Elephas maximus indicus: one gene and its partners. The protein of the gene in region 2 binds, or shares a complex with, the protein of the main gene of each other region. Links are inferred from orthologs where the notes say so. Each region holds a gene or a part of one and is shown on either strand. Other genes may lie near its edges.

Region 1 (3,748 bases), on a different chromosome or scaffold from region 2:
AGACAGGATGTCCAAAACAAAGGCAGGATGGAAAAAGTTTCCGAACATAGTCTAGCTAAATCAAATAAATGTTCCTATGGGAAATAATGGGCTATATGAAAAAAAGGCTGAAGCCATACTCTTAAGGTAAATGTCAGGCAAATGCAGGCAACAGAGAGCCAGTAACTAACAGTAATAAGATTTAAAAGTTACCATTTATTAAGGGTCAACTATGTTTTAGGTGTCCCATAACTCAAATAAAACCTATGAATTCCAAGAAAGCTAGGCTAATTCATATACAGTCCAAAATCTTTTAACTTTGCAAAAACGAGTACTATCCTCTTCATTTTACGAGTGAGGAAACCAAGGCTCAGAAAGATTAAGTAACTAGTCCAAAATCATACGGGCAGTAACTAGTAGAATCAATTTAAATGCAACATCTAGTACTCCAAAGGCCCATATTCTCTCCACTATTATCACATGGTCTAAGGGTTTTTGAGAACACATGATAAAAAGGAGTATTTCGGATATTCACTGCAGCAGCATTCACGACAGCCGAAAGGCGGAAACAACCTAAACGCCCCTCGACCTGTGAATGGACAAACAAAACGGGGCATATTCACACCACAGACTGTCACTCAGCAATAAAGACAAACGAAGCCCTGATACATGCTACAAGATGGCTGAATCCTGAAAGCATTATGCTAAGTGAAATCAGGGCTTCATTCTGGTTTGAAGCCCTGCTGAGAATTTGCATTTCCACCCGAGATAAACTGAATCAGAATCTACATTTTAACAAGATCTCCAGCTGATTCTTACGTATGATAAATTCTGAGAAACACTGCTCTACTAGTGGTTCTCACAACTGGTCCCTAACCAGCAGTATTGGCATCGCCTGGAAACTTGTTAGAAATGCAAATTCTTAGCAGTGGTTCAAAACCGAGTGAAAAAAGTCAGTCACGAAAAGATAAGTATTGTACGAAAATATGCTTGTAGTTTTGAGCTGGGATGACTTGAGGAAATGCTGTTACTATATAAAAACAGGCCGTCAGAAGATAAAGCAGCTTTGACAGCAAAGCTGCCCAGAAAACTGTACTGCTTCAGGACATCCATACTAAGAGAAAGCAAAAAGTAGGTACTAGTGAATTAGTAAATCCAAACCCATTATTCTTATAACTTTTAATCCAACAAAGGTAAATATTTTACCCTCTTGCCAACCTGTGTCATCATACACCATCCAAGAGCAGTGTCAACTTCTACAATGTGCTGAAAGCTGCAATCTGAGTACAATCCAGTGTAAGGGGGACAATGCCTCAGTGAAGGTTGTTTAAAAGAGCTGGGAGGGGCTGAAACATATATCCTGCATACCTGTTAAGGGGCAGGGGACACAAAGCAAGCAACAGGGCTACATGCTGACAAGGTTAATAATTTAAAATCCTGGACACTTTCACAACTTGAGGACACCTCAGTTCTTGCTCTTACACAACAGTGGATAAGACCAAATAACAAGAGCTGGTTTTTCACTTATGGTCCCAGAAGCCTAAAACTCAGGCAACCTGGATTTCTGACAGCAATTACATTGTTTCATAATTAACTAAGTGTCTGGTTGAGGAGCCCTGATGATGCTGTGATTAAGCACTGGGCTGCTGATGGAAAGGTAGGCCGTTGGAACCCACCAGCTGGTCTGCGAGATAAAGATGTGGCAGTCTGCCTCCATAAAGATTTACACCCTTGGAAACCCTATGGGGCAGTTCTACTCTGTCCTATAGGGTCGCTATGAGTCGGAATCGACTTCGGCAACGGTTTTGTTAGTGTCTGGTTTATTCATATTTTTATTCCTTGAGCCTAACAATGCCTGGGCACAGAGCCCTCAATCAAAAAACGTTGAATAAATGAATGAATGAATTTTTGCTCATGGCTTTTCAGGAAACACAAACTACTATCCCTTTTTCCAGGTCATTTTTGCACCCCCCCCCCCCCGAAGGGAGAATTCCAAGCCAGAAAAGGAGGCTCCAGCCTACAAGGGGTTTATCCAGACTCTCTGGGTAAAGCTTATGTTCTATTCATTTGAAAACCTTCATCCTGCGGAGACATATCACGATATGAGTAAGTCTCAAGCCAGCGGCACCGCTTCAGAGGCCTATCTCCCCTTTCTCAATGCAGAAACTGAGCGAAGCGAGACGCAGAGCCGTGTCCAAGGTCATCCGAGCGAGCCGAGCACTACTGACCCCGCACAAGGCCGACTGTGCCCGGGCTGCCAGGAGGCTCCGCGGCTCCATGCGTCCGAGCCTGGGTCTCCTGACCACTCGCCGCAAGGTGGCCGGGGCGCTGGGCTGGGCCGACAAGGCGCTCACGCGGCCCGGGAAGTACAGGGCTGAGGATCCCACTGGCCGCTCAAGCCCGCGCTGCCCACGGCTACCAAGCCTATATCGACGAGCCTGCGGCCGAGTTCGGCTTGTACCTCAGGGCGTAGAAAAGGGAAAAAGGCGGATGTGGGCAGAAGGGCAGGAGAAAGGCAAGGACAGCGGATAAGGCTCACCAAGGCTCTCGCGCATACTCCTCCATCTTGACTCCAGCAGCGCGAGCGAAGCGGGGCAAGCTGGGCGGAGCCGGGCAGGCTGGGCGGAGCCTGACCCCAGCGCCGGAAGTGATCCCGAAAGGCGGAGGGTAAAGTCCATGCGGATTGGTTTACCGTTTCCTCCCTCAGCCAATGGGAGCCGTGACTGCTGGGGACGCTGTGGGGGCGCGGCATTGGCTCCGGCACCTCGAGGCTCTCGGAGGCGCCGGAGGTAGGCAGTGTGTGCGCGGGGTTTCCTCAGTGGGGTGGTGTTCAGATTACCCGGTCACTGAGATAGCGGTACGGATTTTGGTGGCGCAGTGGGTTAACAGCTGGGCTGCTAATCGAAAGGTCGGCGGTTCGAACCGACCGGCCCCTCCGGGGGAAAAAAAGGATTTACAGCCTTGGGAACTCTGTGGGGCAGTCCTACCCTGCCCTGTAATAGGGTTAGGGTAACTGTGTGTCGGAATCAACTCAAGGGCGGTGGGTTTGCTTTTTCGTTTTTTTGAACTGTCAGTGGCCTGAGATAAAACAAACAAAAAAACCAAATCCCTTGCCATCGAGCCCATTCTGACTCATAGCGACCATATAGGACAGAATAGAAGTGCTCCATAGGATTGTCAAGGCTGTAGTTTTTACGCAGACTGCCACATCTTTCTCTTGGAGCGGCTGGTGGATTCCAGTCAGTAGCTAAGTGCTTAAGCACTGTGCGACCATGTCTCCTGGCCTGAGATTAATCTGTTGTTATTCCCCTCTAGAGTTCACCAAACTTCTTTCTCTCGCCCTTTTAGTACTTTGGCTGTCAACTGTGGATTCATGCTAGTTAATTCGGCTCCTTTGAGCTTACAGTCGACCACATTCATGTAGATGGCAGTTAAAGGCGGTCTTCATTTGGCACTTTGGTGATTGACTTTAAAATATGTATATATTTATTTTATGGAAAAGTCAGCGGGATAAATATATACAATACTGCAGGGAAGAGTGAGGTCCCCTCCAAAAGCTTGGAAATAAGACAAGCAGATGTATTAAACCCTTTAGAACTAAAGACTGTCAGTAAATGGGTCTTGTATGTAAGAAGAACGGTTCAAACTAATCTGATTTGGGGTAAGTTCAAGAAGGTCTGTTTGGAACTTGTGACTGTAATTAAGAAAGCTTCAGTCTAATAAATTGTACAGAATGAAGAGAGGATATGGGAGATAGCCACATGGAGCC
Region 2 (3,748 bases):
AGGTAGAGAATTCTTCGGTCATTATTATAGGGATTGGGGTTGGGGGCAAAAGAGAATGCAAACTTTCAGAGGGCAAGACCTGAATTCTACTAATCTTAAAGAGAAAAATGTATCAAGGAAAACCAACTTTCCTAAATTTTAAATTTAATTTTTGGATCCTTCTGTACATCAGTTGATTGCAGATCTATATAGTACCCATACCTCTTATCTTTTCATCAATTGAAAGTCTTGTTAATTCTACTTTTAATACACAGTGAAACCTGTGAGAGCCGGAGCTTGACGGGATAACTTTGCTTTTCCTGGTCTCACAAGTTTTCTGCCATTGACAGGGTGCAGCCTTGCCACTTTTCTATTGCTTGTTTTAGTGAAAAATATTTGAGTTTTCCTTCTCTGACAGTTTTCTGCCTTACACAGGTTTCAGCTTTTGCAGGTTTTACTGTATTTCTTTAATTATGATATTTATCACCATCTCTCTTGCCATTACCCTAGTCCTACCACCAAGTCTCAACCTAACTACAAGAGTCTCCTACCTAACTGGATTCTTTACTTCCTCCTGCTCCTTCAATGTATTTTCTACACAGCAAACAGAGCGGTTTTTAAGAAAAGGAAATCAGCTCTGATGGCTTCCCTCTACACATATAATCAAATCCAAATTCCTTACTGTGGCTTACAAAACCCTACATCGGCTGCCATTCCCTGCCTCTCTGACCTCATTATCTCCTACCCCCTCCAACATCCTTAAAAACTGCAGACACACTAGGCTATAAAAACTGTTCAGATGGGTCTGTATGCAGGTCAAAGCTCAAGTGTCAACTTTCCTGAGCTGTTTTCCCTGACCAGCCATTCTAAAATGCTCCCCCCTCCACCTCCACCTCATGATCCTGATTTCTTCCTTTTAGCACTTATCACTAACTAAAACGTTTTCTACTTAGGTTACTTGGCTCACCTCTGTAGGATGCATGCTTCATAATAGCTTTTTTATAAACTGCTGTGAGTTCCAAACCCAGAAAGGCACTCGGTAATTGTAGGTGCTCAATGAATGGTGTTCACTCTCAAAAACCCTCAATTTATCTTCAAATCTTAATCAAATTAATGCAACAATATTTTGTCATATTAGTTTTCTCTGTGCTCCAAAACTCAGAGCTTTTAAGACTCATTATAGATAAACCATATTCTAGACCCAGTTTTGACACAAGTGACACTATGGTTATAAAACGGCTTTTTGTTTTTCTTAAGCATAATGTTCTACAGAAACAGGTCAACAGAAATAAAAAATTCTCAAAAAAGAAAACACTTTTGCAAAGGGCCCATCTATCATCAACTTCCTACTGTCTTTAGGTCCAGCTTCTATGTTTCCAGTTGGACACCTATTGCCATAAAGTCCCAAGACCTGGAATACATATTGCTAGGGTTAAGGACAGGGCACAGCTAGGATATTCATGTCTCTGCACTCTTGAGCTTGGGCACTTCCCTTTCTAGCACCCTTAACTGGCTTTTTTCTTCATGTCTATAATCCACCTTTGAAGTTCAGCTCACTTTTGAGCACCTCCAGATTTTCCTAGTATGTTTCAAATCGTGTTTCTTTCTCTCCTAGATGCATTAATATTGAAAGTTTTGTTCTAACGAGTACTTTGGGATTTAAAACATGCAACTTTGTGCTAATAACTACGAGGCCGACATATGGGATGCATTTACCTGCAGAGCCGGACCCTGCTTTTAATACAGGGCCAAGTACACGGCCCCACACACAAGGAATGTGTGTGAGGAAAAAGGTACGATGCTTGGATATAAATGGAAGAATTCAGGCTGCATCTCGTGAGTCCAGGTCAACCTCAGAAAGCACACCTCGTGAATTCACGGCCCTCAAAGCTCGTTCGGTCTTGAAATAGCTGCTGTGCTGACACCCTGACCCCACCACGGGATTGAGGCTTTTGAACGACAGCAAAAAAAAAAAAAAAAGGAAAGAAAGAAAAAGGAGGAGCGGCATGTTTAGCGTCGCCGCAGAAACCAGTCAGAAATGTTCGCGGGCTAGGCCCGATACTTACCGGGAACGCCGGCCAAATCTGCGTGCGAGTAACCTGCTCCCCCGGCTCCGAAAAACCCGGCCAAGCCCCCTGTGGTTTTGTTGCTGCTTCCCCCGCCGCCCTCCATGGTGTCGCAGCTCCCTTCCCGTCTGCTTTCCGCCACCCCCAAGGCCGGCGTCGTCTGCTCGGCCGCGGCCCCTCAGTAACCGCGGGGAACTCCGGCCTACCACCGGCTCCCTCACACGCTGACCTTCCGGGGGACGGCGCCCGTTAAGCACCACACTTCCGTTTTGCGACAGTGCACGCCCCGGAAGCCAGAAGCGCCTGACGGCAGCGCTCCGGTGGTGGGAAAGTGAAGGAAGGCAGACTGTAAGCGGCGCGTCCCGAGGCAGGCAGGTGGGGTTCCTGTGGACGAGGGAAGGCAGGCGGCTGGCTGGGGCCCGGCGTGGGAGGCCAGCGGAGCAGCAGCTGCAGAAGCGGGCAGTGGCGGAGAGGGAATGGTGCGGGGAGGCGCCGAGAAGGAGGCGCAGCCCGACCCTCTCGGGGTTTGTGAATGAGGCTCTGCCCGGGCGGCCCGGGGACTGTGTGCTGCGGATCCCAGCATGAGCGCGGGCCCCGGCTGGGAGCCCTGCGCCAAGCGACCCCGCTGGGGCGCCGCTGCAAGCTCTCCGCCGGCCCGCTCGGACGCCCGGAGCTTCCCCGGCAGGCAGGGGCGCGTCCTCGACCCCAGGGACGCGTCCGTGCAGTGCAGGGCCCCACCGTCCTCGCCAGGCTGCGTCCCCGGGCGGGCGGGACCGCACAGAGGCAGCACCACCTCGCTTGGTACGTGGGGAAATTAAAGTCTTGTTCCTTCGCCCCGGCCCGAACCTCTTCCTGACCTCAGTCCGAGGACCCAGGGGCTCCAGTTGCTCCTTTCTGGTCTTAAACACGCATCACTCTGAGGTCCCCTTGTTAAGCCAACAAGGCCACTAGTGGGGAAATGGGACCGTATTTTTCTTGGTAAGATTGGTAGTGTGAGAAACCCTGATGAGCAAACGTTCATAGCGCGGAAAGTGGCAGAAGACTCCACCTGTTTGCTTTCTTCTGGTTTGACTGAGAGATTGCCCTAGGGGTCAAGGAGGTCTGATTGTGTATGTGAAGCAGCGGTGTGCCTCAGCCTGTAGGTAAAAAGCTGTTGAAGCTTCATTCAGATTCTGGGACCCTTTTTTTTTTTTGAGGTGCAGAGCTGTAGGTCTTAGGTGACATTGTATTAGTTCCTGTGTACAGTACTTGATGAGAGGAACTTGACCTCTGTCTTTAAATCCTAAAATCTATCAAGACAGGAAGACAGTTACACAGGTTAGTATAATAAAGGGTAATGAGTGCTCTGATGTACAGAACACGAATCGTTATGGTAGGAGTCAGGAGGAGTACCTAACCTAGACTATGGGATCAAAGATAGTCTCCCAGAAGATGAGATGCTATGGTGAGGCCTGAAGAATCAGTAGCGGTTAGCTAGATGAAGGGAGGGAAGTCAGAAGAAGTGGGAAAGTGTTCTAGGAATTTGGCTGGTACAGAGAATGGACAGGGAAGAGTAGTGAGAGATGGAACTGTAAACGTCAGCTCATGCTGGGCCTGTGTAAGGATTTTGAACGTTATCTCTAAAGGCAATGAGAAGCCATCAAAGGGTTTTAGGTACAGGAGTGACTTCATCAGATTTCTGGGGGTGGGGAGGGGAGGGAGAG
Region 3 (3,748 bases), on a different chromosome or scaffold from region 2:
TAATCGGACCCTGCATTTTAACAAGAGCCCCAGAAAATTCTTATGCATAACTTCCTGGGAACGTGTTAAACATGCTAATTCTCAGCAGGGGTTCCAACCAGAGCTGGTTCAAAGCCCTGCCTCACCCTTCCAAGGTGCCTTTCCCTCTGTGAGGAAACCCCAAGAATAACAGAGCAGAGATGAGCACGACAGGCGCAAGCCCCAGCTCTTCCAGAGGAAGACAGGGCAAAGCAGTCTGAGAGCCCCTGCTGCGGCTCTCCAAAAGGAGCACCAACGGTATGCGCTCAGAAACGAGGACTTAGACTCGAGATCCGAATGGCAGCCTGCCTGCCTGCCAGAGGCTTAGGGGTGGTGAGTAGCTGTTCACAAATCCTAGGCACAAGAGGAAACCTAAAGTGTCGCTCGCCAAAAGGCTTCTATGAGCAGATTCTACTTCCCTGGGTTGTAACGTCACAAAAAGACAAGAGGCGATTTTCTGGCCCCAGAATAGCGAGAGTGCTTACGTGAGAGCAGAGAGCACCATGACCTACGGGACGTCTCAGCTGTGCGAAGGCAGACTAGAGGTCTACACCTGCGTGCGCACGTGCACGCCTCCCCGGATAGGTGACTTAAGATGACAAGAGACTCCCAGCGTGTTCCCTTCCCTCCCCCCCGCCCGTCCCACGGAACCTAGTAGCTGTGAGTGAAGGGAACGCGAAAAGGCATTCCCTTTGCAGCTACATAATGGGATACCCAGCGTTTCCGAGTTTGAGACTTCCCCGCCTTAATGCGAGCAGCGCGCGCCCTGCAAGCACGGGAACTCCTACAGATCAATGAGGACCGCGGGCCGACGCGGGCGATTAAGGGTGTCCCTCGCGGCCCCCAGGCGCTCACCCACCACGCCCCGACCGTCACCTGAGCCCAGTGACCCCCGCAGGAGGCCCGAGGCCAGGACAGCGCAAGAGCTGCCGCGGGGCCCAGCCGCGTCCGGTCGCCATGGAGACCGCACTCCCGCGCCGCTGCGCCGACTCGGGGGCGGGACCGGAGCCGACACCGCCCCTAAGTGCGCCTGCAGCAGCGTTCTAGAAACTTCCAAGTCGACTTCTGCACACGCCGCCATCCTGTAGGCCCCGGGATAGCCGAACTCTTCTCCGTTTGGGAGCGGCTGTGAGGGCTTAGGGAACTCGGGACTGCGACGCCGCGAGCATCCCCAGAGAGGATTCTCACACACGGCCTCTGCGGCGGGCAGGAGAGTGCTAGAGAATCTGAAACGCCAAGACTCAATGACCAGCTCCTAAGTTACACAGAGCCCCAATTAGACCATGCCGTATGTAATTGCTAATTTGATTTCTGTAAAGTATTAACAGGTTTGCTTAAACCACGCGCGACCGAGGTGCGAGATTTCCCCCAAGCACGGCCCCCCCGTCTCGGCTTTTCCCAGTGCGCAGTCGCGACGGCTCGCGCGAGGGAGCCTGGGAGCGTTGGAAGGGCCAGGGCGCGTAGCCCGCCGTGCATTATGGGAGACGCAGTCCGTTGTGCTTCACACCGTGGCAATTGTTCTGAGAGCGCATGTCCTCGAACTACTGTTCCCAGAATTCCGCACAGGTCCCAGGCTGCTGTGCGAAGGCATGGCGGGGAGAAAGGGAATGTCCGCGTAAAAGGAAACCAGGGCGGCTTCAGCTGAAGCACAAAGAGCCGAAGGGAGGGCGACCTCGGCCTTCTTCTCGAGGCCTCCATCCTAACAACGCTCCTGGGGCAGCCGTGTTTTCTGGACACGCCTTACGGGATCCTGGTGTGGATGTGTGGACCAGCCCGTGTCTTATGTGTGTGCAGTGGGCGGTGAAGCTTTGCTGGTTGTAGTTGGCCCCGTCCCCAGGGGGAGCAGCACCCTGTGACCATGATTTGTACTCTTTTGCGAGCTGTGCAGCATACGGAGAAGCTGCACAGGTCCCCAGCGGCGCGACTGTGTTGGCCCCACTTCGTGCTTAACAAAGCTTCCTTGAGGACTGAGCCCAGCTTGAAATGGTGGCTGCCAGAGCAGAACAAAACTGTGCGGCCCAGAGGTATCCTTGGGGTCATCCCGAGAACCATCTGGACGCAGGGACGGGGCCTACAGAGAGCAAAGGAGGACGGCAGCAAACAAGTGTCTGTGCATAGAAGTCCGAGAAGGGAGACCGATGTCTCAACGTCACAGAAAGGTAAAAAGGAGGCGTCCAGTAACCATCATTCCGTCACAAACGTGGCAAAAGCCACCAGTGCCCTTTTACACAAAGTTCAATGCTAAAAATGTAAAATTCGCACACGAACTAAAAGGTGGAATTGTTAAGCACGTTACAATCAGAATATAGGCCTACCAATTTTCTTCACAAATTCAATCCCAGATTTACAAGTTGATCTTGAATTTGATATAACTTGGTTGCATTACGTCTAGAAAATTTCTCTCAACTTGTGTTAGTCCTGGTGTGATAGAAGCTATGTAAAATTTAAACGTTACATATTTTAAAGTATGAAATCTCGTTGGAATCTCTTTCAGGTGGACATTAGCTCTCTTCTGTTTTGTGTATGAGGCATACTTCCCCCAAGATCACACAACTGATAATTAAACATGAATTTTTCTTTTTTCCTAATATCCAGGTCACAGCTATTCACAAATGTTTCTTGAATACCCCTTTATACTCAGTACTTGGACAGGTGTTAAGTACTATTGGCTGTGGCAAAGGAATTTTACACACAAATAACGTCTTGGGAAGAAAATAGAGCATGAAACGATAGTGAAAAAAGCAAATTAGTTGTGCGACAAAGAAAGAACATTTTGTTATCAGTAGGTGCCATGGAATCGATCCCAGCTCAGCAATCTCATGTGACAGAGTAAAAGTGCCCCATAGGGTTTCCTAGGCTATAATCTTTACAGAAGTAGATTGTCAGGTTTTTTCTCCTGTGGTGCTGCTGATGGGTTCGAACCACTGATGTTTCAGTTGGCAGCTGAGCGCTTAACCATTGGGCCATCAGGGCTCCTAGAAAGAGTAATAGAGAGCATATAATAAAGAATAATTGGATAGAATAAATAGGAAAGAAATTATTGAATCATAAACAGTAAGGAAAACCATATGTAGTTCTGCTCACTTACTGAGCGACAACTGTTATGCCTATGTACTGAGTTAGAGTCTATACTGCAGAATTAAAGATGTCCAAAACGTCCCTTGCCCTCAGTGTGATAACATGCAGTAACAGTACGTACATATAAAGTAGGAAGGATGATACATAATTTGTTACGAAGAGTCAGAGAAGGCTTCACAAATAAGGCATTTTAAACTTAATTTTGTATTTATTTCGTTTTACAAGTAATTTGTAGAAAAGGTAATTAAGGACAAAGGAGACAAAGAAAGCAATTGAAACTTATTATTTCCATAATACTACGTGTGCTTTGAATGTCATACTAAAATTTTGCAGGGGCCTGACTTTGGTGAGAAGGCTTCCTTGGATGAAGGCAGTTCCCAGAGAGGGACGCAGCCAGGAGTAAGCGCCCAGTCCTGAAGAAGTCTGGCTGGCACACCATAACACCCACTACAGGAGGGTAGAGGATTGCAGAAACAGAGGGCGTGAGTGAGGGCTGTATGCACGAAGGTGTGAGGTCTCAAAGGTCCAGGAGGAGGAAGGTAGGCAGTGAACAGCTTCCATGGGAAACAGCTATAAGGTTAACGCTTAAAACGTAGACCTGAAATCTGTAGAGCCTGGATAATGTTCAGTGCAAGGCTTTACACAGGTGGAT

Evidence for each region.
Region 1: mitochondrial import inner membrane translocase subunit Tim23 (region 2) and TIMM17A share a complex: the UniProt entries of both Homo sapiens proteins name them as parts of the TIM23 complex. The link is inferred for Elephas maximus indicus from reciprocal best matches to the Homo sapiens genes TIMM23 and TIMM17A.
Region 3: mitochondrial import inner membrane translocase subunit Tim23 (region 2) and TIMM21 share a complex: the UniProt entries of both Homo sapiens proteins name them as parts of the TIM23 complex. The link is inferred for Elephas maximus indicus from reciprocal best matches to the Homo sapiens genes TIMM23 and TIMM21.

What each region holds. Positions count from the first base shown.
Region 1 is NC_064836.1:10,555,387-10,559,134, reverse strand, and holds the start of TIMM17A (mitochondrial import inner membrane translocase subunit Tim17-A), read right to left. Parts: upstream 2,588-3,748; 5' UTR 2,545-2,587; coding exon 2,519-2,544; intron 1-2,518. UniProt on the Homo sapiens protein: Essential component of the TIM23 complex, a complex that mediates the translocation of transit peptide-containing proteins across the mitochondrial inner membrane.
Region 2 is NC_064834.1:3,702,302-3,706,049, reverse strand, and holds the start of mitochondrial import inner membrane translocase subunit Tim23, read right to left. Parts: upstream 2,284-3,748; 5' UTR 2,152-2,283; coding exon 2,046-2,151; intron 1-2,045. Other genes in the region: PARG (poly(ADP-ribose) glycohydrolase), read left to right, coding at 2,627-2,846. UniProt on the Homo sapiens protein: Essential component of the TIM23 complex, a complex that mediates the translocation of transit peptide-containing proteins across the mitochondrial inner membrane.
Region 3 is NC_064829.1:81,626,030-81,629,777, forward strand, and holds the start of TIMM21 (mitochondrial import inner membrane translocase subunit Tim21), read left to right. Parts: upstream 1-1,385; 5' UTR 1,386-1,876; coding exon 1,877-2,177; intron 2,178-3,748. Other genes in the region: FBXO15 (F-box only protein 15), read right to left, coding at 895-977. UniProt on the Homo sapiens protein: Participates in the translocation of transit peptide-containing proteins across the mitochondrial inner membrane.